Linked DNA regions of Oryzias latipes. The protein of the gene in region 4 purifies or fractionates together with the protein of the main gene of each other region. This does not show direct contact. Links are inferred from orthologs where the notes say so. Each region holds a gene or a part of one and is shown on either strand. Other genes may lie near its edges. The genes, in order: use1, vps45, stx10, napa, stx7, stx5 and napg.

What was found.
Region 1: the proteins of napa (region 4) and use1 purify together in Homo sapiens (affinity purification with mass spectrometry; 3 studies listed by BioGRID and IntAct, counting the BioPlex papers as one, with this or other methods). This does not show direct contact. The link is inferred for Oryzias latipes from reciprocal best matches to the Homo sapiens genes NAPA and USE1.
Region 2: the proteins of napa (region 4) and vps45 purify together in Homo sapiens (affinity purification with mass spectrometry; 3 studies listed by BioGRID and IntAct, with this or other methods). This does not show direct contact. The link is inferred for Oryzias latipes from reciprocal best matches to the Homo sapiens genes NAPA and VPS45.
Region 3: the proteins of napa (region 4) and stx10 purify together in Homo sapiens (affinity purification with mass spectrometry; 3 studies listed by BioGRID and IntAct, with this or other methods). This does not show direct contact. The link is inferred for Oryzias latipes from reciprocal best matches to the Homo sapiens genes NAPA and STX10.
Region 5: the proteins of napa (region 4) and stx7 purify together in Homo sapiens (affinity purification with mass spectrometry; 4 studies listed by BioGRID and IntAct, counting the BioPlex papers as one, with this or other methods). This does not show direct contact. The link is inferred for Oryzias latipes from reciprocal best matches to the Homo sapiens genes NAPA and STX7.
Region 6: the proteins of napa (region 4) and stx5 purify together in Homo sapiens (affinity purification with mass spectrometry; 3 studies listed by BioGRID and IntAct, with this or other methods). This does not show direct contact. The link is inferred for Oryzias latipes from reciprocal best matches to the Homo sapiens genes NAPA and STX5.
Region 7: the proteins of napa (region 4) and napg purify together in Homo sapiens (affinity purification with mass spectrometry; 3 studies listed by BioGRID and IntAct, counting the BioPlex papers as one, with this or other methods). This does not show direct contact. The link is inferred for Oryzias latipes from reciprocal best matches to the Homo sapiens genes NAPA and NAPG.

What each region holds. Positions count from the first base shown.
Region 1 is NC_019862.2:32,661,347-32,665,383, reverse strand, and holds the start of use1 (vesicle transport protein USE1), read right to left. Parts: upstream 2,801-4,037; 5' UTR 2,794-2,800; coding exon 2,695-2,793; intron 35-2,694; coding exon 1-34.
Region 2 is NC_019869.2:4,532,289-4,536,253, forward strand, and holds the start of vps45 (vacuolar protein sorting-associated protein 45), read right to left. Parts: upstream 2,801-3,965; 5' UTR 2,624-2,800; coding exon 2,531-2,623; intron 2,055-2,530; coding exon 1,920-2,054; intron 1,848-1,919; coding exon 1,787-1,847; intron 1,588-1,786; coding exon 1,508-1,587; intron 595-1,507; coding exon 526-594; intron 434-525; coding exon 296-433; intron 1-295. UniProt on the Homo sapiens protein: May play a role in vesicle-mediated protein trafficking from the Golgi stack through the trans-Golgi network.
Region 3 is NC_019859.2:26,813,350-26,817,475, forward strand, and holds the start of stx10 (syntaxin-10), read right to left. Parts: upstream 2,801-4,126; 5' UTR 2,729-2,800; coding exon 2,694-2,728; intron 2,310-2,693; coding exon 2,234-2,309; intron 917-2,233; coding exon 823-916; intron 83-822; coding exon 1-82. UniProt on the Homo sapiens protein: SNARE involved in vesicular transport from the late endosomes to the trans-Golgi network.
Region 4 is NC_019871.2:5,028,618-5,032,667, forward strand, and holds the start of napa (alpha-soluble NSF attachment protein), read right to left. Parts: upstream 2,801-4,050; 5' UTR 2,660-2,800; coding exon 2,562-2,659; intron 1,983-2,561; coding exon 1,903-1,982; intron 1,829-1,902; coding exon 1,712-1,828; intron 1-1,711. UniProt on the Homo sapiens protein: Required for vesicular transport between the endoplasmic reticulum and the Golgi apparatus. Together with GNA12 promotes CDH5 localization to plasma membrane.
Region 5 is NC_019882.2:21,987,407-21,991,452, reverse strand, and holds the start of stx7 (syntaxin-7), read right to left. Parts: upstream 2,801-4,046; 5' UTR 2,786-2,800; coding exon 2,641-2,785; intron 1,582-2,640; coding exon 1,489-1,581; intron 1,387-1,488; coding exon 1,317-1,386; intron 798-1,316; coding exon 707-797; intron 620-706; coding exon 482-619; intron 1-481. UniProt on the Homo sapiens protein: May be involved in protein trafficking from the plasma membrane to the early endosome (EE) as well as in homotypic fusion of endocytic organelles. Mediates the endocytic trafficking from early endosomes to late endosomes and lysosomes.
Region 6 is NC_019868.2:11,883,641-11,887,901, reverse strand, and holds the start of stx5 (syntaxin-5), read right to left. Parts: upstream 2,801-4,261; 5' UTR 2,782-2,800; intron 1-2,781. UniProt on the Homo sapiens protein: Mediates endoplasmic reticulum to Golgi transport.
Region 7 is NC_019875.2:4,622,009-4,626,056, forward strand, and holds the start of napg (gamma-soluble NSF attachment protein), read right to left. Parts: upstream 2,801-4,048; 5' UTR 2,648-2,800; coding exon 2,592-2,647; intron 2,353-2,591; coding exon 2,285-2,352; intron 2,183-2,284; coding exon 2,098-2,182; intron 1-2,097. UniProt on the Homo sapiens protein: Required for vesicular transport between the endoplasmic reticulum and the Golgi apparatus.

The DNA.
Region 1 (4,037 bases), on a different chromosome or scaffold from region 4:
AGGCTACCAGCATCTCCTCTAGAGCACCAACGTACTAAAAAAAACAGAGATTTGTCTATTTAGCTTAAAACTATAACTTTTTTTTTTTTTTTTTTTAACTTGTCCTGTCCAACAGCTGGGCAGACAGATGAGAGCTGAGGGCCTCTTGTGTTGGACATATTTTATTTTAACAACAGGGGTTATTAATCTTCAGACAAACCAAAGGTATGTCTGAATAAACCCCCTTTGTAATTGAGGCCAAACTTTATTAATTTCAAACATGTCTGAAAATCTTTGGTGTTGGACCGGACGGAAAAGGAAAGAGGGGAAGAAGAGGGAGGGACGATAGAGAGAGGGGGGGGTAGGGGGTGATAATAGGAGGGGAAGGGGGATAAGACCATGAAGCAGCATACAGCAACAAGTTTACTGTTTGTTAATCATTATGGTAAGGTTCAAATGTAGTAGTAAAAAAAAAAAAAAAAAAAAAAAAAAGGGGGCGGAGCCTGTCCACACACACACTGAAATGTATTAAACACACCTGCTAGCTGCAAAAATGTCCACCTGTCGACATGTACACAAAACAGATAGTGTTCACACGCATACTTATGCCTTTAAACCAACTAGTGTGAAATATTTCAGTCATGCAAACTGTTAGTGCAAAGGTGAGCTAACACCTGTGCTCAGGTGAGTGTTTATGTTCTTCTAAAATGGATGGTGGAATGTGAAAAGAAGGAGGGAGAGTGCCCAGCCATCCCCACACCAAGACCCCCACCGCAGCAGCAGCGGCAGCCGGAATCCCCCCAACGCCACACGGGAACCGGCAGGGAACAACCGCCGCCCGGGCGACCAAGCCCGCCACCCAGGCCAGGACCAGCAGGACCGCCGCAAGGCCCCCAGAGCCAGAGGCCAGGGAGGCGCGGAGGGAAAGAGAGCGCCGCCCCAGCCCAACCAGGAGAGCAGCCCCCCCGCCGCGCCGGGAGAACCCAACGCAGGGCCCCACCGGAGAAGGACGCCCACAGCCCCAAACGAGCACCCCACCACCACCCAGGAGTTCCGGGCAACCCCCCGCCCCAACCCCAGGTACGAGCCAGGACCCCCCAAGGGAGACCCGCTCCGCACTCCAGGTAGCCACCCGCCCGGCCCACGGTTGGTCCAGGGAGGAGCGAGGCAGGGGCCCGCCGCCCCCGCCCAGGAGGGGGGAACCCCGGGGAAAGAAAGAGGGCCCACAAGGGGTGTTATAAATATCGCCCGACCAGGCTCGGCCACAGTTGGAAATTTGGCGGGGCCCAGCACTCAGGAGCGAGGACCAGAACCCACCCCCCAGGGACCAGACACCCCCGGCTCAGATGTAATGTGAACCCCCCCACCGTGCGGAGAGAGCACCGCCGGGCCCAGGAAGCCGGCACCCCGGGGACACAGCCGCCGTTGCAATAAAACTATAACTTAACTTTAAAAACAGCATTTGAGTTCAATCTTAAATCTAAATATGCGAAAAACTATAAAGACAAAAATAATTATTTAGGCAATAAAAAACAAAACAGACAAGAAAAATATGTATAAGGAAGGAAAGAAGCAGTAGAAAATGTTTGGGTTCGACACTTTGGAAGAGTTTGATGTCTGAATCTTTCTAGAAAAATCCCAGAATTCTGGTCTTCAGGTCAGCCACACTTTCACATTTCATCTAGAAGACCTGCTGTTAAAGAATTCAGGTTAATTAAGTTTAACAACCGGATGCTATGCGAGCAGATATTTATGTCGGCAAAGGTACGGAACCTTCAGAACATCAGCCGACCTTCCTCATCCATTTGCATCTTCTCACATATTACTCACTTCATCTTTCTTTCTTTTTTCTACACCGCTTACGTTTTCAGGACATTTTTAACCTAAGTTCTCCATCAGCAGCTGAAACTGAAGATCAGCCAAACAGATTCTGGATCAACCTTTAAAATGCAGCCGACCTGGAGACCAGAACCCTGAGAACACGACCAGGACGAGCCGGAACCTGAGAAAAATACGACATGTGAAAGAAAAGCCTTTTTCTGAACTAAAGACACAAAATGGACTGTTTGGCACTAAAACAACAGAAGAGGAGCAAGCTCCGGCTTCCTACCACCGTCCAGAAACATGCTTGACAGGTCCATCTAAATTATCCATAGGTGTGATTGTGAGTGTGAGAGTGCATGGGTGTGTGAGTGTGAGAGTGCGTGGGTGTGTGAGTGTGAGTGTGAGAGTGCATGGGTGTGTGAGTGTGAGATTGTGAGAGTGCGTGGGTGTGTGAGTGTGGCCCTATGACAGACTGGCGACCTGTCTTCACCCGTGAGAGGTCGGGATAGGCTCCAGCAGCCCCGTGACCCCGAAAGAGAACAAACGGATTAGAAGATGAAAAATGAATGAACGGTGTAAACAGCTGCACATGTAGACGAGGACTTAAGAAAGAGGAAAGAAAAAAACAAATGAATGTTTTCCCGCGAATAAACTACTAAATGACTGTTGGCATTTTTAGGCACAATGTGTATCATACTCTGCAAATTTCCTTAAGAAATCTGGTTAAACTAAAGTAATTCAGTGCAGCACTCATAAACTACAGCTCAAAGAAACCAGTCTGGTTTTAGTGACGACGTGGCTAACAGCGGCTAATAGCTGCACAGCTAACCCCAACAACACCCACTATTCAGTTCTGCTGCTAAAACATCCCATAATTTCAGACTTCCTTACCTTCTCTAGCCTCCATTCTGTCTCCCCTCGCTTCTCAGACGCTATAGATTCACAGCGAGACAACAATCTGATGAAATTAATCTCCAATCTTGAAGCCATGTTTGACGCTGACACACGGTCGCGGAAATCTGACGTCACAGGAAAAGACCGCTAAGGAGGGGGGGGGGGGGTGTTTCATTTTGAAAGGTAAATTCTAAATTCTCTAAATCTCTACACACTTTGTTACCACTGAAAAATATATCAATAATTTTTTTTAAAGTTTCCTCTGTAGATGTATTTTAGATAGAAATATTATAATCTGTGGATGTATTTCTATGTTCACAACAGGAAGGAAGCCTTTTGTTTTGTTTCTTTGTAAGTCTTCATGTTGCAATAAACTTTTCGTGTTTTAAAATAAATGTTGAAGCATTTCTGGACGCTTGAATTTTCCAATTTTCCCTTTCAGACCAAAAAGAGATTAGAGGTTAGAAAAAAAAAAACAGAGCCAAAAGTAATACACTTGTTTTTTTTTTAAATTAAATATACTTTAGTAAAAGTATAGCAAGTATTCTGTAAAGCTATTTCATACCATTTTATACCATGTATAAAATATATGTTTATAGTATTTTTTACCATGTGTGGGTAGTTTAGGAAGTAAATTAACTGAATTCTTCAGACTAAATTGGAATATTTTAAGTTTACAAAATATATAGATAGTACATAAAAAGTAAAGTTCAAGTATACGGCCTTAGTTAGTAGTAAACTAAGCATGCTCGTAGTATACCTGAATAGACTACTTTTTGCGATGTGAGTACTCACTAGTCCATGCATATGACTAAAATAATTTATATATTTAAATAAGTACTTCTCAGAGTATTTTGCTGACTTGGCAAAAAACCCGGTTCAGTGACTCCAGTGTACAGCTTCTTAATACTTCAAACGTGCATAGTATAAAAGACAAATATGGATTAATCACACATAAGGTTCTGTTAGTAATGGATGTTTAGTGTGACTTTTTGCAGAAAAAGTGCAATAAAGGTCACCGTTCAAAAAGGCAGAATTCAGGGAGTTTTTTTTTTTTGTTTTTTAAACTTGTCTTGTCCAGAACTGAGGGCCTCTTGTGTTGGACATATTTTCAGGGAGTTTTTCTAAACACAGTGAACCAAAACAGAGACTTACCTGAACTCCACAAATCCTGTTCAGCCGGTTATTCTGCATTAATGTCTTCAATGACCTTTTTACTTTGAAAATAATTGGAAGCAAAGCAAAAACCTAAAAAACCAATTAACATGTTAAAATAAAGTCTTTTCTACACCAAAGGCAAACTCAGAATACCCCAAACTGATGAAACACCACCATGTTAT
Region 2 (3,965 bases), on a different chromosome or scaffold from region 4:
GTGACAAACTGTTGCTGCTTAGAGAATCATCAAACTAAAACTAAATCAACTTTTTTTATTTATAAATTTTATTTTTTAACATTATTTAAATGAAGAACAATCCAAAGTACTTTTTTTATAAATATTTAAGTATTGAATTTTTCCTTTATTGAACAATTACTAGTGAAAAACAGCAAAGTATGAAGGCTAAAGTTCCGCTTTTTAAGACTTCTTTCTAAAAATGATTTGAAAACTTCCGATTATAATGTCATTTTGGTGAGAATGTGGGGTAATGGGCTGTCATTTCTCTGTAAACCTTGACACTTTCCGCGAGGCGTTTGGACATGTCTGAGGACAGCTGGTAGCGGATCATTGGACATTTCTTCAGAGCCAGAAGAACGGATGTCAGACCCTGAGTGCAGCGACTCAACATGGAGGGTTCCCAGCTCCGCCCCTGACGAACGAACAAAGAGATGCACTTTTATCCTCATTTAGCAAACCAAATCTGTCATGTGAGGCCAAGCAGCTAAAAAAAGGAAAGCTTACTCTAGCGACTCCCTGCAGGTTGAGGGAGAACAGGTGAGGGTTCACAGCGATGAAATCTCCATAAAACTCCTGGAAAAACACAAAAAGATCTTCCTGGATCTGAACTTTAAGATTCTTTCTGAGCTGCAGAAATACAACCTAAAACACTGAGATGCAGAATTTTTATAAAAACTTTGATGTAAAAAAAAATAAGATTGTTCCAAGTGTGTTTATGATAAACAAATGAGTTAGAAGCGTATTAATGCATCCACTGATGTTGTTCCAGACTGTCATCATTTCTGGTGTTTGTTATAGAACAGAAGTTTTTTTTACGGGCAATTTGATGTAGTAACTGTGGTATTCTAATCTTTTAAAGTCCCACTCTGGTTCTCATGCATTTCAAAAGTGTTTCCTGTGGTGAAATTCGCCTCCGAGTTGTGGGCGGAGCCATCATCCACCTGTTTACATGTTGTCCTGCTAGCTTACAGCCCCTCACACCCCAGTTTAACACTGTAGCAACAACGGCGAGCGATATCGGAGCTATTCAGCCGTACCGTTTGGAGTTTCCAGCTCGGACAAGAAAAATGAAGACATACATGGAATTATTTGACCATTAGTTTGTGTATGTGGCTCGCCCAGCGTGTTTTCTAAGTAGCATTTATGATCTTTTTCTTTCTTTTGCTCCCGATTCACAACAATTAGACTAAAGAAATACTTAAAAAATGCCATTTTAATCTTAATTTTCTTAATTTGTGTCCTCCGTCATCAGAAAAATGCAACAAGAACGTGATTAAAGCACCACAAACATGATTTTCATCAGAGTAGGTCTTTAAAAGGATTTGTTGCCACTTAATAGTTACTTTTGTTACACAGTCAATAACAGCTAAGACACCAAATAAAGGGTTATTTCCAGTTATTGAAACGTACAGATGGATTGTAATGAGGGGAGAAATATGTCCAATAAATTGAAGATTTAAAACACCAAGTAGGAGCCGACGCTCACCTGGACCTCAGCCACCACCTCCTGTTCATCCGCCTCAGCCAGAACTTTGATCTCACTCTTACTGATCACGTTACTGAAGTCTGAAACACAAGAAAATAGGAGCTTAGTGAGGAGTCTTATTTCATTTTGCATACATCTAATCTTTTTTAATCATTTGTTTCTTGCGTCAAGTCATTTTTAGTTATTTTGAGTTTTTTGCTTTAATATTTTTTTTTTATTCTGGAAGCAAAAGAAAATAACTGACTGCCTGAACTCTCAACAGATAAACATTTAACACACAGATGAAGTAGATGCTGTATTTGGGCCTCCTCAGCTCCTGGATTAGATGCTGAACGTTCTCCTGCACACAGAACAGGACAGAACGTTAAGACACTTTCCACAAAAAACAACAAACTGTCTGCTGGTTTTGTACCTTAGTGGGACGGAGGAAGCAAATGGCCTTCAGGTGCTTCATGCTGTCTCTGCTCTGAGAGTCGATCCGCTCGAACAAGTAAACTTCCTTCTGCAGGATCTCGGACTGCGTGTACACCACACTGACTATACTGGTCTGACACACAACACGGGTAGATTCAGTTCAAACTGCATGTCATAGCCAAAAAATAAAAATAAAAAGAAATATGCATTTAGTGAGACGAGCAACAGAGCTAAATATGTGGCTTTTATGTGGTTCCAGTTGCTGTTAAATCTTGTTTTCATCTCCAGTATGGTCAGCTGTTGACCGTCCGGTGCCTGACTGGAGGGAATTTCAGCATGGAGAGGATGCTGCGGTCTGGATCTGGAATGCTCTTATTTACAAACATGACTCATTTGAAAAACAAAGCCATTAACGTTTACATTTATTTACTTTTGTTTAAGTTTATCATTAAAACTGTACACTAACTCCTGTGTTAGCATAAGAGAACAAATACCAAGTGAAACAAAGGAGTGACAACATCTCACAGGAAGCAGGAGGACAATAGTCACGTGAGGCAACAGTATAATATGACAGAACGACAGGAGTAAAAGTGTCATTGATTGTCCCACCGTCTCTTTGTCCATGAGCAGCACCTTCATTCCGGGCCCGCTGCTCTCGATCATTTTCGAGATGTACTGCTTCACCGCGAGCGTCACGTTCATGATGGCCTCGCTGACGCACAACAACCGTGAAAACGAATCAACCAGGAAGAAAAAAAACAGCAGCAGCCTCCAAGAGTCTGTGTCGCTCCGTTTGAGGGATTTTCTGGGGTGCTATGAGGAGGACTGAGCTGTTGTGACAACACTGAAAGTCTTTTCCTGGTTTGGTGACGTCATCACGTCGTGCGTTGTAAAGTGGGAGGGACGAACCGAGCAGTTCTTCTGGGACTTGTTTTAAAATGTTAACGATGGTGTTTTTTCCTCATTTCTTCGTTTTTCGTGGAAGAATTAATTTAACATGTGCGGGTTTTTTTTTTTACATTAAAACTTGGAATTTTGGCAACATTTAAATCATTTAAAGCTTTAAGGTTTTCAATTAAATAAACATACAATTAAATTTTCTTGTTTTCTTTCAATGGATTGCTGATGTTTTCAGATGTTTTTCACTTACACTAACTGCCTTTATGGTCTTTACTAAGTTACATCCATAAACCTTAGCTTTTCCATAATCCTTTATCCTCCTCTGATCCTGTCTCTCAGCTTCCTTTTGCCAACAAAGTGAGCCTACTTTGTAAATATCTAATTAAAGGCAGGTTTTAAAGCAATAGATGTTATAATATGGACATACATTGGCTTAAATCCTACCAAAAAAATCAATTCATATAGTATCAACTATAAATGAAGGCCAAAAACGTAAATAGCAAATTAAAGTAAAAAGTCATCTGTTGTTTGATCCATAAGTAACACACATTGATTTTTTTCTTTCTAGTAAAAATGACTAAATCTAGCATATATTTTGCCAATAGACATTACCACTGACTAAATATTAGTTGAAAACAAAAGGCTCACAATTGTTAGCATGATGCTAATACTGTCCAGATTCCAAAATAAAGTACAACAAGATAGAAACATGAAATAGATTTCTTCAAAATACTATTTTAAACGTAGCCTAAAAATGTTAACAATGAAATATTAACATTTGCATGTGTTATTAGTTTAATAACTATTATTTTTCCTAAACTGATAGGACTTAAGGTGTGGGTTTCTGCAACAACACGACAAAAACTCTTAATAAGTACACTAAATGTATAATCAAAAAATGTTTTTACTTAAAGCACAAATGTTAAAACCACAACAATGTCACATTCTTGTATTTATGGTTAGTTTGACTGATCACCATTGTCTGCTGAAGAAACCTAAATAAACCTGTATATTTATAGATTTTGCTTGCTAAATAAACATATACGTCTCTCAAATTTAAATACTACTATTTAAAACGGAGGAATAGATATCTATAAATGTCAGTATATTATGATCACATTAGCATCGTGCACAGCCAGGTCCT
Region 3 (4,126 bases), on a different chromosome or scaffold from region 4:
CTGGTTCGTTCCACAAAGTCTCTCCGTTCCTGGAGCTCATATTCACCCAACCGGAACTTTCCTGGGTTGGACTCTACGATGCCTGAGCTGGTCAAGGAAGAATTCAACATTTGAAAAAAAACTAAAACAATTTTTTAAAAATGTAATGTACTAAATTTTGTTTCTTGTAAAAAAACAAAATTAAAAACTTGGAAACATGTCTCCTTCATAGGAGTAATAAATGTAGACAACTTGATGGATTAACTGTTGATTTGTTTCACAAGATGACAAAAACTACTGTAGAACATTAAAGACTATCCTTCAACACAGAGAAACAGAGGGTTATTTAGCTCCATTTGATGCTAGTTGACCTACAATAACGTTTAAAGATCCACTCCCATGAAAATGGTGTTTCTGTTTTTAACAATTTTTCTCATGATTGAGGACATAGAAAAAGAAAATAAAGCTTCAAATTGCATTTCAGAGTATTTCTTAATTCAAATGGTTGTAAGATTGGAGCAGACGAAAAAAATGCAGTTTGAAAAAGAAGCTTGTGTGTTACAAAGAAAATCCGTTGGTGGGGTAACAAGCTCCCTGCTCCGAGCTCTCAGCGACGAGGAGAGAAACGAGGGGGCATGGTTGCTCCGCACCTACAGTTCTGCCAAATTTCTGATGAACTCCTGCCGCTCTGAAGAAACACTGTCCTAGAAAACAACTGTTTTTTTTCATATTTTGGCTAAAAACATCATGATCATAGTTAAAACTCCACTGGAAACGCTTTGAAAATAGATCAAAAGATGATTGGAGTGGGGCGTTAAAGAGTTGTCTGTGCATAAAGGATACTGATGGTTTCACTGAGGTCCTCCAGATCCCAGTCTATGGCCCTCAGACAGTTTCTCAGCTCATTGGCACTCCAATCCAGCTCATCTCGACTCACCTGAGATGACAAGGAAAGTACGACGTAGGTTAAAACACTTCAAATTAAGAAAATAAAGGTTAAGTTTTACAAAAAATAAAGGCTTTTTTTCATTAAAGCTGTTTATTTAAGTGTATGGAGTCAAATCTTTGAGACTCTGAGGAATTCTGGTTGACACAGTAACCAAAGGAAATTCAAGACAGCAGTTAAAATCCCAACTTTAGCTTGGGATTCCTGTAAACCAGGAGTCTGCAACCTTTAACACACAAAGAGCCATTTGATTTAATTTCTTATTAAAAAAAACCCAGCGAGATACGCAAATTCCCACTTCAATTTTAGAAAAATATAACGTATTTTTGCTTTTGTGGCCATTAAGCCATTCATTTGTAGCTTTAAAATATTTACAATAATTGAACAATAACAGTACTGTTTTTTTCAATGTAAAACATCTTTCATTTCTTTTGTTTTTTACAGCAGCACATAAAAATTCCTTTCAAAATAAAATAAACCTTGTGTCAAATAAGATCCTCTTGCTGCAGCAGATTAATTTGAATAAAAATGCACGAAAGTCAAGTCAATGATGACATTTTCTGTCATTATGACTTATTTTCTTATCAGTTATAGCCTTGACCACTTTGGTGGAGAATCCAATTAAAAATTAACTACACGTGTAAATGCAATCATATGCTTTAAAAACGCCTCTGTACAGCAACTACACACTGTTGTGCAGCAGTAGATAAGAAAATGTGCTTTAAGAATATTCTAAAAATAAATCCCCTAAAAACGTAGCGCACTAAAACAACACAGACAACACACACGGGATGGCAACGAAAAATGATCAAACCATCATAACAGTCCAATGTGTGGAAACACTTTGAATTTTGCAAAGACATGTGACCATACAGTGTGGTAGAATTTTCTAATAATGTTCTGTTTGGATTATTTTGATGTGGAAAAACAGCAGTGGGCGGAATTTTATCAAACTAAAATGTGAATTGATTACATATTAATTCTGGTTTACTTGTTTGTTTGTACACATATTAAATTTACACTTAATTATCTTGTAAGGAAAACAACAAATCTGAAAAACCTCACCTGCACTGTTCAGTACCCAGTTATTTATCTCTGAGTCACGATGACTGAATTAATTTGGGTAAAGATGTCCTGGATTGATTTTAGATCAGTGAATCAAATCGAATCGAATTGTTCATATTGATTATTGAATTGTATCGTTAGCCACAAATTAAAATATCAATCGAATAGTTGTTGAAATGAATTGTTACACCCCTACTGTTGTTTGATGTTTATGTCTATGCCAAACAGTCTTTAAAGGCTCACTTGTGTCCCATCCTGCAACAGTTCTTCCCATCTATCAAACAGACTCCGGGCACGGGACAGCGCCTTCTGCACCTCCCTGAAGAGCAGAAAACAACAACAACAACACAAACAGTTATTTGTTCAATTAAAAACAGCTTCTTCGCTTCTCTTGTTCTCCTAGTTAAAATGACGCATTCCTTTGCGTCTCCTTATTCTGAAAGCAGCCTACGCGTTCAGTGAACGACCCCTTAATTCTCAGAACATTTTTCTCAAACATGAACACACTGACACTGACAGCCTGAACGCCTCTCCTCTCTTCACTCACTGTAGCATCGGTGCTACTTCGCTTTAACAGCGCTAACTTTCATAACTTTTCAAGAAGCACAAAAACATATTTTACATTTTTCTTTTTAAAAAAGTTACACATTTAACAACATTCTCAGGATAAAGTTGATTTTTGACTCGGTTTCTTTCAACTCACCCCTTCACAACGAAAAACGGGTCTTCTAGCGACATTTTGCTTCCTTCCTTGGTAGGCCGTGCGCCTGCGCATGTTTCTTGTAGCGTGATGACGTCATCTGGAACGTAAACACGACACAGGAAAAGTATTGTCTCTGAGGAAGAAATGACAAAGCGATAGGACCAAAACAAACAAACAGAAAAACAAAGAAACAAAAACCAACAACAAAATAAAACGGTGGAATCTGGTTATACCCGCGATAAAACGAATATGTAGGCTATGTCCCTATTTGACCTGGGGGGTATTCCAAAAAGCAGGTTATGTGAATTACCACGGTAGGTTTAGGCTAAGGAAAACGTATAACCTCAGCTTTCGGTTCCAAAACCAGAGGTATTTTAAGTGTATGCTTAGTTCCCATAGCAACTCATGCTCTGAACATAACCTGGGGCCTGTTGCACAAAAGTACGATAAGGGATTAAGCAGGGATATCTTGGTGATCCTGGCTCAATTGATCCTCAATCCGGTTGCACTAAAGCTGGATAGGGGGCAGGAGGATATGTTATGGTATAAATTACCATGGAGATTTATTCTGTGGAGCTAGCCTGCTCCAGACCAGGCTAAATTCCAGGATCTATTTAATCTCATCCCTAATGTCAGTCAGCAGTCGCCACAAATGGAAACCAATAGTTATTTCATTGCTCACTATACATTGTTATCACATATAACTAGACCCGCTGTCATTATTTAAACGTTCGTGATCATTAATTTCAATCATTTTGGATAAATAATGAGTTTTAGATGATGTTGCTATCATTAGATAATTTACAGTGTCCCATAGACTATAAGGCTATATATAAAATGATAGAATATTAGGGCCACAGAGGGAAAAAAAGACAAGTCATAATATTGTAACCAGTTGTTTTAAAGGAGGACAGTTGTTAAAATGACAGATGTGGGGCATTTCGTGAAATTGTCCTTCAGTATGGTTTCATAAACGAAGACATGCTGATGTGCCAGAATATGAAGTATCACATTTTCATAACTATCAAAACTGTAAAAAGAATATGTTGCTTTTCTGCAGAAAGAACCAGCCTCGTAAATTTATGACTTTATCCTTTTTGCCTTAGTGGGCCCTAGTACTCTGTCATATAAAATAATACACATTCCATTAAAATATGAAAACACAATGTGTAAAATTATGTTCCTTTATTGAATAAGGACAAAACAAAGCAGGTAAACTACACTCAAAAAAAGTTCACTTTGAATGAACATAAAAAAATTATGGAAATGATTTCCACATGATTAGACAGCGTTACTTGAACAAAAATGAATCATATTGGTCATACTTAATGTACTTAGGTTCAAACTAATAAGTTTAAGTTGATTCAATCTAACTACTGCAGTTGGACCCAACTTTAAATTAATATTGTTGCTCACTCTCAAAGGATAAAAGT
Region 4 (4,050 bases):
TGCACATTAATGAACATCTATCAAACAATGATAGGCGTAAACATGCTGGATTATAGCAATGATGCTAATTTGCATCCATAGTCCCTAGGCAGGAAACATAAAACAGGACAAAACAAAAGACAGAGTCACAGATCCAATAAGAACACAAAAGGGTGGCACATTATGAGAGTTAAAAGTCAGTGGCTACAGGACTGGAGGATAAGGATGTAAATGGGCATAGCATGTAAACGACACCAAACGTGAAAGGATGCATCTGCAACGCTGATGGAAACGTTTACATTCTTTTCCTGGAGCGATGATGAAGGTGGAATGTGTGAGTTGACCTGTAGCATGACAACAAGTCCAATCATGTCACCAGCAAAATAAAGAACTACTGACTGAACCAGATGGTTAGTTAGCCATCAAACTCCTAACAATTGTAAAGTCAGGACTTCACACACCGAACGTTAAATTTCATGGGAAAGAATATAGAAGGAAATTAATAAAAAATATGAATTCCTTAATTCTTACTTCCAGTAGGAAAAAGAGCCGTGAAAATACATCATATTTCATCAAAAAAATAATTCTTTAGTGTGCCAAAGGTAATATATGATCACATATATGGATAAAGTTTACTCTGAAAGGCGTAACAATAGCATGATATATAGGCCCTACAACTCACATCTGCCTGCAGCTCAACTCCTCCATCCTCCATGGGAGTTTTAGCCCCCCCCCCAGCAACAACAGGTACCTGTTATTGCTAAATAAGATTCCCACAGTATTCCTCTAAGCCCGTCAGACAAATTATATCAGGTTGATGCAGGAAAGGAGGAGACAGTGGAAATGGAGGTAGTTGTGCATTAAAAAAAACCCAGAGGAACCAATCATTTTCCAGTAATATCCCTACAACTGTTTTGGTTTTGGCTACAGATATTTATGATCTTTCATATTCCTAACTACTCAGTGTTTTATCAGGGCCTGTTCGGATGAACACAGATCTAATATCATGGAGATTTACATATCAGTAAAAATTAATTTTCCACAGTACACATGACCATCTCTCATGGCACATTTGCTTCATTAAAGTCCTCCATGATCAGAAGAATGTCAGAATAACATGTTAAAAAACATTAAAAACACCCGTTTCATCTGATCTGCTCTTAAATGGGGGATGCCCAATATATCCAATTAAAACCAGACTGTATATTACACAATTTAAAATGAAATATTGCATCCCCGCAGCATATATTTGCATATATTTATAGTGAAAGTGTCAAACACATGTGATCTGCTATTTTTAATTTATTGACATTGTTTTATAACATTTCACCAGGCTTAGAATAAGCTAAATCAAGGCTTTTTCTTTCATTTCTTATTAGCAAACTTAAAAAAAATGTTTCTCTATGTTTTTTGTAGTTGTTTTTGCAATGCACACACCAAATATCGAACCAAAACAAAACCGTGACCCAAAAATGGAGGTTTGAATCAAATAGGGAAGAAAACGAACAGTTGCATCCCTAAAAGGCAATGCGTGTCCACATACATTTATGTGGATATTTATTTGATTTGCAACACATTTGATGAATGAAAACCTTTTTGTTCTTGAAAAAATTATTTTAAAAAAATAAATGAAGCAAGCTCTTTATAAAGCAGTGTAATTTCTCACAACAACAGAACAGGTTTTGAGAGTTAAAAAATAAATATATAAACCCACAGAAATGAAGAACATTACCTTGGGGGTCTGCTTTTTTGAAGGCATTTCCAGCGTCTATGAGGTTAGTTGCTGCATCGTGTTTACTCTGCATCTGCAGGTGAAGATGAGCAGCCTGCGCGAAAGCATTTCCTGCAGCTGGAAAGAAATGTTGCAAGATTAAGGTGTTTACAGATAACAGCGGGGAGAAGGGGGGCTTGTTACACACTTACCAGACCAGTTTTTAGCCATTTTGTACATGTTGGCTGCTCTCACATAGATTTCGCAGGCCTCTTCCGACCTGGAGGAACCCCTGTGAGATAACATACACGCGCATTTAAAAAAAGACAAATTGGAAGTTAAAACCGTGTTGCATAAATATGCAATATATCTCTGCAGACTAAGTGTAAATACCACCTTAAATCTTATAGAAAACACAAATGTGCGGCTGTAAACCAATGACTGACATGTGATCTGCAGTACACCTTTATTCCGGAAGGTGGTGCTGCAGCATCGGCACAAGTACACTTTGAACTTGAGACAAAAACAATATTTCCGTTTAATTTAAAGTTAATACATAAACACAACAATCTTTAAGTATAGTCATTAACAGAGCGGGTATAGGCAATTGCTGTGAATGACAATAATGCTGTTTACAAACATTCGAGGCAGAAAACCCGGGAATGGTGGCGTAACAACATCACAGACACAACAGCATCATTTAAACCCAAAACTAAAATTAAATGAAAGATTCACCACTCAGAGTTAAAGGTATTCTTTAGTTCCGCTATACAAACGGAGTGATAACTGCTTAGTCAGACACCTTCCGCATTGTTGGCCCCTAGACTAGAAAAGCTAGCTAACACTTACGCTAGCTTTCTGACAAACTTACCCAAACAGCGTCCCAAAAAACGACTTCGACGATTTTATTTTTTTGTCCGCCTCCGCCATCAAAGCTTCCGCTTCCTTTTCTTTCCCACTGTTGTCCATTTTCGTGCCTTGTCCCTTAAATCTGTGGACAAATACCTAAATGTAAAAGTCAACAAACTTGCTAACTGCTGCTAGCTGCGTCGTCACATCACCAGTTACAGACCAGCAGTTCCCCTGTCACGTGACACGGGAGAACGGAAACTCCTGCTGCATTCAGGAACTCTTTGTAAATAAGACTTTTCTGTGTCACTTAATACTATTTCCCCCAACCTTGAGTAATATTTTAAGAAACATACCAATTACAATCTGTTCTTACGGGATGAAAAACTTTATGTTTTTGTTTGTTGCACACCTTCATTTACCAAAATTAAATAATTAACATGACTAAATGAAAAGACCCTTAAAAAATAAAAAATCTAAAATGCTAAGTAACAAATAACTCCTACTTTTACTATGTATTTCCTAAATGTCGGGTCTTGGATTGTGCAATAGTGTTACTTGCAAAACAGCAGTTTCACAATTTTCATATCTTTACCATTTGCGTCTTGCTTTTAACGTGATGGGAAAAAAAACATTTTACACAGCTTCTTGAGATAATATTGGGGTTTTTAATGGGTCAACTTAAAATTCTGATTTAAAAATATGTACCCAACAGAAAACCCCCTTATGTAGAACTGCAAAGTAAAATGTTGTTCTGCATCTAAAAAAACAACAGAAATGTCCCCCAAAACTTTTGTAAATTTCTAAAACTTTCTCTGACGGTTAGAAAATGGTTTACTTTGGACATGTTTAGTTCGTGCATCAGTGACAGAGTGGAGTCAGTTTGCAACAATTTTTTTTAAATTTATTTGACATGTAGTAAGGGAAAAACTATTTTTTTATTTCTTTATTCGTACTTTTTTTAAATATATATTCTTGGTCTGTTTTTCAATCCCTTTTATAAACGTTTGTTTCCTTTATTGTTATTTTTTATTTCTACAACACTTCATGTTGGGTCACAGGGTTTTAGCCTTGAGTCTTTTTCAGGGTGTCATCCCTAAAGAGGGATCCTTTGTCCCACTGCATTTCAGGGACACCATGACACAATGGTGCCTTTGGACTATGAAAGAACACAAACCAAATATGGAAGAATTAACATCTCAGTCAGATTTGCAGACAGCACTTTCTTGATTGTTTTATTGACTTTTAATGTGGGATAAAATTGTTATCCAGTTGGTTTGTAGATTACAAATTTGACTTGATCTCTTGACTTGTTATCATCACTGGCTTAAGAGGGCTAAAAAGTCTGCTATCAAAGTGAGAAGGCCTGAGTTCGAATCCTGGCCAGGTTTTTTCTATGCAGAGTTTCCTTAATTTAGCTTGTTTTGTTTTTCCTGGTACTCTCCTGGTATTGCATCCTATAATATGCCTCTAAATTGTCCCAAGATGTGATTGGGAGTGTTTGTGTAAAT
Region 5 (4,046 bases), on a different chromosome or scaffold from region 4:
GACAATGCCTGTTCTTACTTTATGGAGATGTTTGAATGCCAGCAAGAACCACAACCATCAATGAATCAACATAAAGAGATCTGCCCCCCAACCAGCGGAAGGCTCATGCTGGGTCTGGAACAGGCTGGGACAGGTGCATCTGCTCACCTGACCATCTGAAACATTTCCTCACAGCGCTCACACTCACCCACTCCATCCTGAACACGCCTATAAACCCAGACACACTGTCACTGGAAGAAGCTTTTCTCATTTCCTCAGCTGGAGGGTTTCATCTGAATAACCTGTCTACGTCTGAACGTTCAGCCAAACTCTGAGCAGATGGTACATTATGGCCCAGAACAGCTGAAACCGGGAAACCATGGCAGTGTTGTTCAGAAAGAACCCGGATGGTCCTGGTTGTGGAACGTGTGAGTATGAGGTGAGCGTGCACGGAAAGCTCTCGCTCACAGCACTCCCAGAAATGACGAAGGCGAATACGAACCGACAGCCTGGAGCCAGCTCGGACTCGGGCCACGAACTCCCGCTCCTTGTCGGCGGCCTGCCGTTGGGTCTTCTGGAAACTGTTCAACGCAGCAGAGAAGTCATTGAGCAAACGCTCCTTCTGCAGCTTCCTCTGCCTCTGAAAACACAAACACAGCTGATCAATTCCCACAAACTCCTGACCGGGTTCGATGTGATCGGTGCGTGGGACGAAGGGGCCTCGTACCTGATCGGGACCGACGGGGAGGGCGGTGAAGGCCTTGATCAGCTGGTCGGTCTCCTTGGCCAGCTGGTTCCCCTGCTGCTGTTTCTGCTGACTGAGAACCAGAGGGAAGCATCTGTGAAACGTTTCACTCGAGGAAACAGAAATCTTACAAATCCATTACTCCTGACGTGGAAAATGCTCGGGTTTCAGGAGCTAGCTGAGTACAGAGTAAAAAAAAACTATTCTAAAGGTTGAAAACTACTTTTTGAACCTTAAACCCACTGAATGGAACTGTTTTAAAACAGGGACAAATGATCCCATTCAAGTAAAACACTGTTATAAGAATAGAACTTACTTTAGTAACAACCTGCATCTCCAATGTGTGTATATGAACATGTATGTGTTTAGAACATCTTTTTAAAGTTATCTTTCTGTTTTGATGAATGAATTAGATGCTAAAATAATAAAGACAGTCTGCTTCCTGCCATTCAGGAGTCTTTACAAATGAACTGACTGAAGGAACAAGGGAAACGTATGTGTGTGTGTGCATGGTGACCGTCCACAGACAGGCCGGCTGTCGGTTTGAACTCATTTGGCTGCATGTGTGATCAAGCAGGCGGTCAGAACTCACAGCGTCTGTCTGAGCTGGCTGCTGTCCTGCTCCGTCCCCAGCAGGGTCACGGCCCTCTGCAGCTCTGAGGCTGGAACACAGATCCATGAGTGAGGATGCTGGGGGTCCAGTGGGGTTCAGCATGTGCACAGGTCTGTGTGGGTGTGTGTGTGTGTGTGTGTGTGTGCATTACTCAGTAGTGTGATCCTCTGGATGTTGGAGCTGATGTTCTGAACCAAAGCGGCGGGCTCCCGTTGAATCCCAGCCTGGTAGGCCATGATGAGAGCTGAGTTCACACAGAAAGACACATTTATGTCTTGCTTTCATACAAACTGCATGTTTAACCTTTAAAGTCCCCCAACCATCATCTTATGATCTATTGTCAAAGTGTTCCCAGCGGTCTTTTCACTACGATTCTGCTGTTTTTAGACTAAATCAGAAAACGTTGTCGTTTTCTAGGACATAGTTTCTGCGGACTGGGAGTAATTCATTAGAAATTCCCCTCTAAGGTGTGGGCGGGACTGTTGGCGAAAAGCACAACACCCCCCCTTCCCGTCATCCATCTTTTTACAACTCTCCCCTGCTAGCTTACAGCCCCTCACAACCTCAAGCTAATATTAGTGATGCAACAAAAATGGTGATCAACATCAGATCTATCATCCGTCCAGTTCTGATCCAGATTCCAGGTCAGACCAGGAAGACAAAGACGTTCACGGATCTGTTTGTCTGACAGATCAGAATAGAGCAGAGCAGGGAGCTGGTGACCTGCTGATTGTAGTTTACGTAACAACTAAGAGGTTTTTCAAACAGCATTTTTTCTTCTGCTCCTGATTCACAACGATTTGAAGAAAGAAATACTCAGAAATGCAGTTTTAAGCTTGATTTTCTATATATATGTATGTCCTCCATCATTAGAAAATGCTACAAGAACATGTAAAAACACCACAAACACCATTTTCATTGGAGTAGGTTTTTAACTAGCAGGACGGGTGCTGGCAAAACCCAAACCCAAAACTGTTGTCAATCAGGAGCAGACAAAAAAAGACTGTGATGAAGACTAGTGATGTAGAAAATACTCTGGCCAGGCCAAAGTGTCCCTGCCCTGCTCCATTCTGATGCCCCCACCTGCAGACAAATAGATCCATGGACAGCTCCAATATTGAGCAGCATTCTTGTGGTGCCGCTAAAGCTATGGATGACGGGAAGTGAAGGTGGGCTTACTCTGTACCAACAGGATCAGGAGGGAAAACTACACCATCATCAGCGTTTGTCTGACATAAGCATCAACAGTCTGAGGTCAAACCAACGTTTTGATAACAAATGGAGATGATGGAAACTTCCTCACAGCTTTGAGTGATGGAGGCAGTGAAAACACAAAGAAGGAAAGTTGCTTTTCCTCTCAGAACAAATCCTGAAACTCTGAAACGCTGAAGGTCAGAACCAAAGAGCTGCTGCAGCAAACACCAGCCCAGCTGACCCCTGACCCCCATCCATGCTGGACCAACGTGGGCTCATGCCCAGTCTGCTCTGATCGGGGGCCAGTTGGGGGGGGGGGGGGGGGGCGTTGACGCGGGTCAGGCAGTTGCTCACGCGCGTTTCCGGGACCAGCGGCGCTCCAGCGTCTGCTATGATGACGCGTTTTTAGGACCCCGTCAAGACCCCCTCCGCCGTGCGTTACGGGGCAGCCTGCCGCCTGCAGCGGTCGGTCGGTGGGGCTGCAGTCTTTCCAGCAGCCGCAAATGCGGAAATCAGAGGACTTTCTCGGAACACCACGGTCTGTGTCCTTCCGTGACGGCTGCTCTCTCCCGGAGTTTCTGTTTATAAAACCCCGAACTTTAAGCGTCAACGTGACGTTTAGCTCATGAAACTACCGGTCTCTACACAACTGCCCCCCCACCCGCCCCCAGCCCGGTTCGGGACATCTCGCCGTTTGTCCTCAGAAAGTGAAGCGCTCCGAAACCCGCGGTAGGATTTTGGATCGAGACCAAAACCTGCTCTAGAACGGTTCGGTTCGTTTCTGGGATCGTTTGGACTTTACCTGCGCTGAGACTTGGAGCTGCGCCGTTTCCTGACTCGCAGCCACTCCCCGGTCACATGACGCGCACGGCCCGGCCCCGCTGGAGCCAAGAGCCGCAGGAGCCGCAGGGGCCAGGGGACACTCCCACCAAAGACTGGAGACAAGGCTTCAGGGTTCTGCTGCGCCCCGGTCCTTTAGGATGGAAACGAGTCAACTCCACAAAAACAAGTCATAACATTAACAATAAAGGACTAAAACATAGTTTCAGCGCGCTGGAGCAAAATGATGTTTATTCAAAAAATATGACAGAGTCTGAAGGCCACATATTTGAGAAGGAGGGGGGAAAGGAGACAGAGGTGGAGGTCTTCCTCATGTTAAGGTTTTCCTCATGTTGAGGTCTTCTTCAGGTGGAGGTCTTCCTCATGTTGAGGTTTTCCTCAGGTGGAGGTCTTCCTCAGGTGGAGGTCTTCCTCATGTTGAGGTTTTCCTCAGGTGGAGGTCTTCCTCAGGTGGAGGTCTTCTTCAGGAGGAGGTATCCCTCAGGTGGAGGTCTTCCTCATGTTGAGGTCTTCTTCAGGAGGAGGTCTTCCTCAGGTGGAGGTCTTCTTCAGGTGGAGGCCTTCCTCAGGTGGAGGTCTTCTTCAGGTGGAGGTCTTCCTCAGGTGGAGGTCCCCTGCAGTTCTCTCCCCTTTGGACCCTTCGTCTCCACTCAGTAGAGGAGTGGAAATCTGGAT
Region 6 (4,261 bases), on a different chromosome or scaffold from region 4:
ATAGTTTTTTTTTTTTTACTTTGCTGTATGTAGCTAAAACAATTTTATTTCTGCAAAGCATTTTTAATTTCCCTTGTTTGCATAAAACGATATGCAAATGAAATTGCCTTGCTTTACATGTGTTGTATAAGGCCTAAGTCATGTTTTTGTGGCATTTTTCTAATGCTGAAGAACATATCAAAAGAAAATTCTGCTTAAAATCGCATTTTTGAGTACTTCTTAATTCAAATGTGAACCAGGAGGTGATGAAAACATACCACTGGAAAAAGCTTGTAGTTGTGCTACAATCAGCAGGCCACAAGCTTCCAGCTCTGGTCCATTCTGATGCGTCCACTTGCAGATAACTATATACAAGTGCGTCTTTGGCTTCCTCAACTGAGCTGACATCTGGCTCTGCAGAAACCATGTTCCAGAAAACAACGTTGGTTTTTTTGGGGGCTAAAAACGGCATAATCATAATTAAAATACCACTGGGAACCCTTTTACAATAGATCAAAAGATGATTGGAGTGGGACTTTAAAAGTGCAGAAAATGTAAACAACACAAAGAACCAAGTTATAAAAACATTCATTATCTTAATGGATCAAAATTATTTTGGTCCTCTCCTTGGTATTCTTCAGACATGACTTGAAGTTCAACACGTGTTCTCAAATACATGTTATGACATGTTTGTGATTTCTATATACTTTTTAGGCCTTTAAAATAGCATTAAAATAAACAATAAAACATATAAATAAAACAATAAAAAATAATAGGGACCCAGTTCACTTTACTTATTTCGAGTTAAGAAAGCATTGAGTTAAGGGACACGTTTCAAACGTTATGTTTATCCATTTCTTTGTAACGGTCCAATAAGTAGTGGGGCCTAAACACAAGCTTTGTTTTTGTATTTTTTCTAAGACGTTTATAAAAAAATAGGTGTCATATTTATTACTAATACGTTGGTGGTGCTGGCGTAGTTGTTGCCATTCTCATCTCACAGGGAGAAGGCTCTGGGTCAAAACCCTGCTGCACCTTTTTGTGTGGAGTGTGCATGTTCTCCTCGTTTATGCGTAGGTTTCTTCTGATTTCTTCCCACAGTTTAAAGTCATGCTTCGTAGGTCAATTGGTGGTTATTAATAGTCCCTTGGGTGTGAACGTTTGTAGTTGTTTGTCTCCGTGTTGCCCTGCTATGGACTGGAAAACTGTCCAGGATGTACTCTACCTTCCCTCCTCAGTGGTTGGGTAGACGATGGCATTGAACAGGAATAAGTGGATTTAGAGACTAATTGGCTATATTTGGTAATTTTAGTAATCTCAGCAATTTCTGAGATGCATCCTGGCAGTAGAATGTGTGTATAAGTTTTACATATTAAATGAAGTTCCAATAAGTATGTCAAGGATGCATTTACAAAAAGTTGTAAATATGACTTCATGTTTTTGTTCTTATGCCCTTTCAAACAAAATGTCTTTCTAATTGGCAAAACACTGATAATGAAATAAAAATAAGAAATATAAAAGCAAACCTCATGTACCAATGACATGAAATTTTATAATTGAAAGACCCATTTTGAATCTTTCCCAGCAAAAAGACAGAACAGACATTTGGACAAGGACAGGATGGGCTGCTTCCTCAGGTGATTCAACACTCAGGTACAGCATGGAAAGAGAAAGATACGATCTTGCTGCTCTCTGATGTTCTCAACCTCCTGCTGGTACCTGCATCCTTTTTCTGACAGGCCCAAGCATGCTCAGACCACAAGTATGCCTCCAGCCCCAGATCCCCAGCCTTCCACCCGTCTGAACCCTGTACCGTCGTACCTTCCCTTATCCGTTCCATCATATGTCACACCTTTCTTTAAACCACTCAGAAAATCTCCCTTTGTGTGCTTTTTGGATTGTTTTATGGTATTAAATAGTATATATGTCAATAATATGTCAGAAAAAATGATTGAGCCTAACTTTTATATCAGTATTCGTCCAATAATTATATAGTAGTCAGTTGTGCTTCACATTAAAGACCCACTCCAATAAAAATCCTGATTTGGGTGTTTTTAACATGTTCTTGTGGCGTTTTTTTGACATCTATGAAGAAAATTAAGATCAAAACTGCATTTCTGAGTGTTTCTTTATTCAAATCGTTATGAATCAGGAGCAGATAAAACAAATGCTGTTGGAAAAAGCTTGAAGCAGTGACATAGGTGCTACAATTGGCAGGCCACAAGCTCTGAGCTCCTCTCTATTCTGATGCATCCACTTGTAGACGACTAGATCTATTTCCGCCTTCATTTTCCTTGTATGAGCTGAGATCTGGCTCAAAACTGTACGGCAGGATAGTTTCGATATTGCTCGCCATTTTTGTTGCATCTGTAATGTTAGGTTGGGGTTCTGAGGGGCTGTAGGCTAGTGGGAGAGAGTGTAAACAAAGGGATGATGTCAGGGCAGGCTTACTTCATGCCAACAGTCCTGCCAAAAGCTCAGAGGTGAATTTTAGTGAACTCCTTGTCATGGGGCCTCTGTCAGCTATCTTCCCCCTCCCCTCTCTGCTTGGCCACTGATTCGTCCCAGCTGCGTTCACTCATCTCATCAACCTGCCAGACCTACTTAAGGAGCGCCAGGACCAGAATTCAACGCTAGTTCGTTGCCCCTGATGGTGCTTGTCTGGTCTCTTTCAAGTTTTCCTGTTACGTATCTTTACCCTCGTCTAAACTCTAGTCTTTCTATGTCCAGGACCTACATATCCCACGAGTGGACGCCAGCTTCAGCTTCAGCCCAAGCGGAGTTATCCCCGGAGTTACCTACCTCCTCTCAACGCTCCATACATCAGGCCTCAGCTCTGGCCTCAGCCGAACCTCCAGCCACGTCAAGATCCACCCTCTCATCTGGAGTTGCCGTTCCTGCCATTCCCCGCCACAACAGGACAAATTCATCCGCTGGAAAAATTAAATCTATTATTTACCTTCACTCACCTCCTGTCTTCCTTCTGGGTTTCAGCGTCTGGGTCTGTCTAGCTTTGACAAGTCATGACAGAACGAACAACTAGCCAAAACCCCGACCCAGCTGGCCCGGAAGATTTACAAAATATTGTCTCCCAACAAGGTCGGTTCCTGGAACTCCTCTCCAGTGCGGTCACCCGCGTCACTACAGTCCAAGAGGACACGATCTCTCGCATCAGAGGTATGAACCAAACGCTTTCCGAGCTAACCGAGCGACATGCTAACCCTGCTATAGGAGCTTCTACTCCGTCTTCCGGCAACAATGCAGCTTCCGCTTCCGGTCCTGTCAACTCACCCGAAAACTTCCGGTTACAGCCTGAACCGTTCCTAGGCAACGTAGAAGCCTGTGGCGGGTTCTTACTTCAATGCCAACTCATATTCCAGCAGGCTCCCAGGCATTATCACTCTGATATCAGTAAAATCACCCTTATAATAAATTTTCTCCGGAAGAAAGCTCTTCGGTGGGCTCAAGCCTTTGTTTCTGCTAACCCTATTAGTCACCTTCGCTATGAACACTTCCTAAACGAATTCCGTTTGATTTTTGACCAACCCCGTAAACGGGAAGAAGCCACACGTAAATTACTTAACCTGAAACAACACAACCGGACTGTTAGTGAGCACGTCATTGACTCCGCATTCTGGCGGTCGAAGCAGGCTGGCCAGATCTGGCTTTAAAGGGCATTTTTTATCAATCTTTGAATGAAGAAATTAAAGACCATCTCTGTACTCAGCCTGAAACTAACTCCTTTGAAGAGCTCGTTTCAGCAGCCCTCCGCTCGGACATCCGACTCACCGAGCGACGTCATGATCGCCAACAGACCCCGAAGAAAACCATCAGCGATCCGGCCCCTTCTACCATCACAGCCCAGTCGCCCCTCAGAATGGATTTTCTCGCAAGCTCCAAACCATCTGAGGGACCTATACAGAGATCATTCTAAACTATCTGCAGAAGAACGACAGAGGCGAAAAGAGGAGGGTTCATGTTTTTATTGTGGAGCCCATGGACATTTAGTTTCACAGTGCACTCTGCGTTTAAATTCCCAAAACCCCCCGCTGAGTGACAGGTCACGGGGGGGCAACCTCAGCACTCAGGAAAATCAAAGCTTCCTGTGCATTCCTGTCAGAATATGCTGTAAAACCCAAACTCATGCTTTCAGGGCACTTATAGATTCTGGAGCCGAACAGAGCCTAATTGATCATGGTCTGGTGTCTAAACTCGGTCTTCCCACAGAACCTCTGGAAGCTCCTGTAGAGGCCTCGGGCTTAGGAGGGCAGCACCTCTCCAG
Region 7 (4,048 bases), on a different chromosome or scaffold from region 4:
TTTTTTTCCCTTTTAAAATGTCCTAAAGCAAATAATATCATATCATATATAGCAATGATTGTGATTATTGAACTTGTGTTTTTTTAGTCCATAAACGTCTTTATGCAGCTCAGTGGACTTGTGGTAGAGTGTCCACCCTGTAACTGGAAGGTCATGAGTTTAAATCCAGGCTGAGACATACCCAAGACCCTAAAAATGGGACCTAATGAATGCCTCCCTGCTTGACACTCAGTATTAAGAGCTTGGATTGTAGTAAGTAAGTAAGTAAGTAATCTTTATTTATATAGCACTTCTCACAGAGAACGACTCACAAAGTGCTTCACAACGTAAAAACAATATAAAATCAGTAGCGATACCCAATAAAACGCACACAGGCATAGAAATAAACAAACAGGCAAAAGTGAACACAAGTAAAAGTCAGCTAAAAGCTTTCCTAAATAAAAAGGTCTTAACTTGAGCTTTAAAACACTCGACTGAGTCAATCTGGCGCAGAGACAGGGGGAGGTCGTTCCAAAGTCGGGGAGCAACTGCCTGAAAGGCGAGGTCTCCTCTTGTTTTAAAATGAGTTTTTGGAACACATAAAAGATTTTTTTCAGTGGACCTCAAAGAACGTGCAGGAGTGTAGGGAGTTAAAAGGTCAGAAATATAGATCGGGTATGCACCCGTATGGAAGCATTAGTGTAGCATAATTAAAACTAAAAGTCAAAACCAGAAATGCTTTTTCATTTTCAAAATGAAGCTGCATTTTTTGACTCAAAATTAAAATGAAAAAGCAATCCGCCAAACCGCTTTTTCTTTTTCTTCTTCAACACTGCTTATTCTGTCACTTAATTAAAATGATAATGAAAATGGTGTTTGACATTTCATTTTCAAAAAGTTCTCTGGTAAATGTGTAGCAAAATTCATTTAGAAATGTCTAATTTGACAATTAAAATGGATTAACAGAAATGCTTTTTCATTTTCAAAATGTAACTGCATCAGATGACTCAAAATTTAAATGAAAAATCAATCTTAAAAACCGCTTATTCTGTGTCATAATTAAAACGAAAATGCAAAAAGGGGATTGCACTTTCATTTTCACATCCACCCTGCGAACATTGTCGCGATAATAATTTCGAATAAGCATTTCCAGAGGGGAGGCGGGGCGATGACATCAGTACTATCTTCGTGTGTCCGGCTGCGAAGAGACACATGCTAGGAGCAGTGTAGCTTTGTGTTAGCGGCAGAGAAGGGGGCTTTGTGATGGTTGTGAACTTCTGATGATTGTACACAACGTAGCTACGTAGCAGCATTTCCGCCTTCTGTGGTCCTCCTTCGGACGCACAACGTTTTGTCCAAACTGCCCCCAGACTAGCTTTGTCTTCGGACCGGTAGCCGTTTTTAGCACGTTTTTGACGTACCACAGTGCGTCCGAAGGATGACCACAGAAGGCGGAAATGCTGCTACGTAGTCCTGATAAGCTGTGTAAAATCATCAGAAGTTCACAACCATCACAAAGCCCTCTCCTCTGCCGCTAACACAAAGCTACACTGCTCCTAGCATGAGTCTCGTAACAACCGGACACACGGAGATAGCAGTGACGTCATCGCCCCGCCTCCCCTCTGGAAATGCTAAGTCGAATTGAAATATGCGACACTATTCACAGGGTGGATGTGAAAATGAAAATGCAATCCCCTCTTTGCATTTTCATTTTAATTATGACACAGAATAAGCGGTTTTTAAGATTAATTTTTCATTTAAATTTTGAGTCATCTGATGCAGTTACATTTTGAAAATGAAAAAGCATTTCTGGTTTTGACTTTTATTTTTAATTATGCTACACAAATGCTCCCATAGAATTGGGGGGGTTAAACCACCAAATGGTTCCCTGGCACGGCTGTGTCTGCAGCTCACCGCTCCCCCAGGGGGATGATGGGTCAAATGCGGAGAACAAATGTCACATGTCTAGGTAGGTGTGACAGATGAAGGGACTTTAACTTTTTATTTTATGACATGACAAACTGTCACATTTCAGTAGAGATAGGGTGCATTAACAAGACAGGTGTCCTCGTTAATGGAGCAAAGACACTAAAAGCTAAGCCCCACATGTGAGGATACGTCTTGTTCTCCGTGTGGTACTCCGCCTCCTTCAGGTAAGCATCCTTCGCCTGTTCGTACTGCTTTGCGTTCTTGAAGCAGACAGCTGCAGGAGAAGAGTCAAGAACACATGCGGGATTGATTGATCATGACATGTCAGCCTCCTCGTCTGCTGGGACTGCTGGGGTTGCGGACGTGAGGCTTTCACCTGCTTTGGCGTATTCCGACGCTGCGCTGTCAAAGTCCGGCTTCCACTTCGTCATGCTCGTCTTTAAGCTACAGAAACAGGAGGAGTCGGTGAAAAACGGCTCCGGTAATCCCGGTCACCGAATTCAGACGACTCATGAGTGTTAGGAGAAACGCACAGATTTAACAACCGTGCAATACGTCAGGGATCAACCGTGTTCTGTCAGACTGAGCCAGTGGCCTGCAGTGCTGCTAGCTAGCTAAATCAGGATCACAAACTGGTCTTTTCTTTCTGCGCCGGAAATGGCAGCATTCGTGTCGGAACTCACCATTTTTCGGCTTTAGCTATGTGCTCGTGAGCTTCATTTATCTTCTGTGCAGCCATGCTGTGAAATAATCACAGTCGTACTGATATCGAGAAACGGATAGGAATATTTTGTACGGCGATGTTTGGATCATCAGGAACTCCTCCTCAGCGCTGACGTCATCGAATGTTGCAGGCTACGGGTGCCGCCGAGGGACAAGCAAAACACCCGAATCAACACAGCCGAATAAGCTGTTGTTTATTTATGTAAATATTGCAATACAGATTCTGTATTGTATAGTACAGTTGTACATTAATATTTGTTCGTTCTACTGTTTTATTTTTTAAGTGGTGGTTCATAACTCAATTTATTGATAGATTTCTGATTAAAATCCAGTATTCTTACTCAGCTAGAGTGACTTGTGTAATTGTAATTTTTGGCAACAGTTTTTGGCATGGACTTTCACATTACTGGCCATACGTTGTTGATAGAATTTGGCTTTGATAAAACATCCCTGATTAGCGCATGGGAACACTTTTAATATTATTTTAAACCAGAAGATTACACTTGCCTGTAAAACAGCATGGAGAGGTAAGACAACCTCTATTATTTAAAGTCCCAGTCAAATTATTTTTTGATCTATTCTTAAAGCATTCCCAGAGGTCTTTTAAGTATTATTATGCAATTTTTAGCCCAAATCAATAAACCTGTGTCCTAGTTTCTGCAGGGCGCTAGGAGTTGATCAGAAATGCACCTCTGAGTTGTGGGCGCGCTGATGTCATGGAGTGAGCCTGTGCTCATTTCCCATCATCCATCTGTTTACATGCTCTCCCGCTACCTCATGGCCCCTCACACCCCCAACCTCATTAGCGGCGCAACATAAATGGTGGTCAGTATCAGAGTTATCCAGCATTCCAGGAAAATGAAGACGTTCATGGATCCATTGGTCTGACGGTGGATAATCAGAATGGAGCAGAGCAGGGAGCTTATAGCCTGCTGATTGTAGTTTGAACATAACATTAACAAGCTTTTTCAAACGGCATGTTTTCGTCTGCTCCTGATTCACCACAATTTGAAGGAATAAAAATACTCAGAAATGCATTTTTATACATATCTTCCATCATCAGAAAATGCTACAAGAACCTGTTAAAAAGAGCAAAAACAGAATAGGTCCATAAATTCAATCACATCTGAACATCTGATAAAAGTTTCAAACTTCAGCATAGAGTGTATTTCTTTAGTTTGCAAACTCTAAATTAAAAAAATCTCTTTTTACTCATCTTCTGTTCTTCCATTAACAAAATGATCTTTTCCAGTAACCCTCGATGGCAAAAAGACACCGAAATAGAACTTTTTTATTAGATCCAATCCATGTTTTACTCCAAAGTACTGACTGCAGCAAGTGGCTTGCAGGCATTCAAAGTTCATGCTTCTTAGATTTAATTCAAAACTCTGTTTATTAAATTCAAGATTCTGAGAGC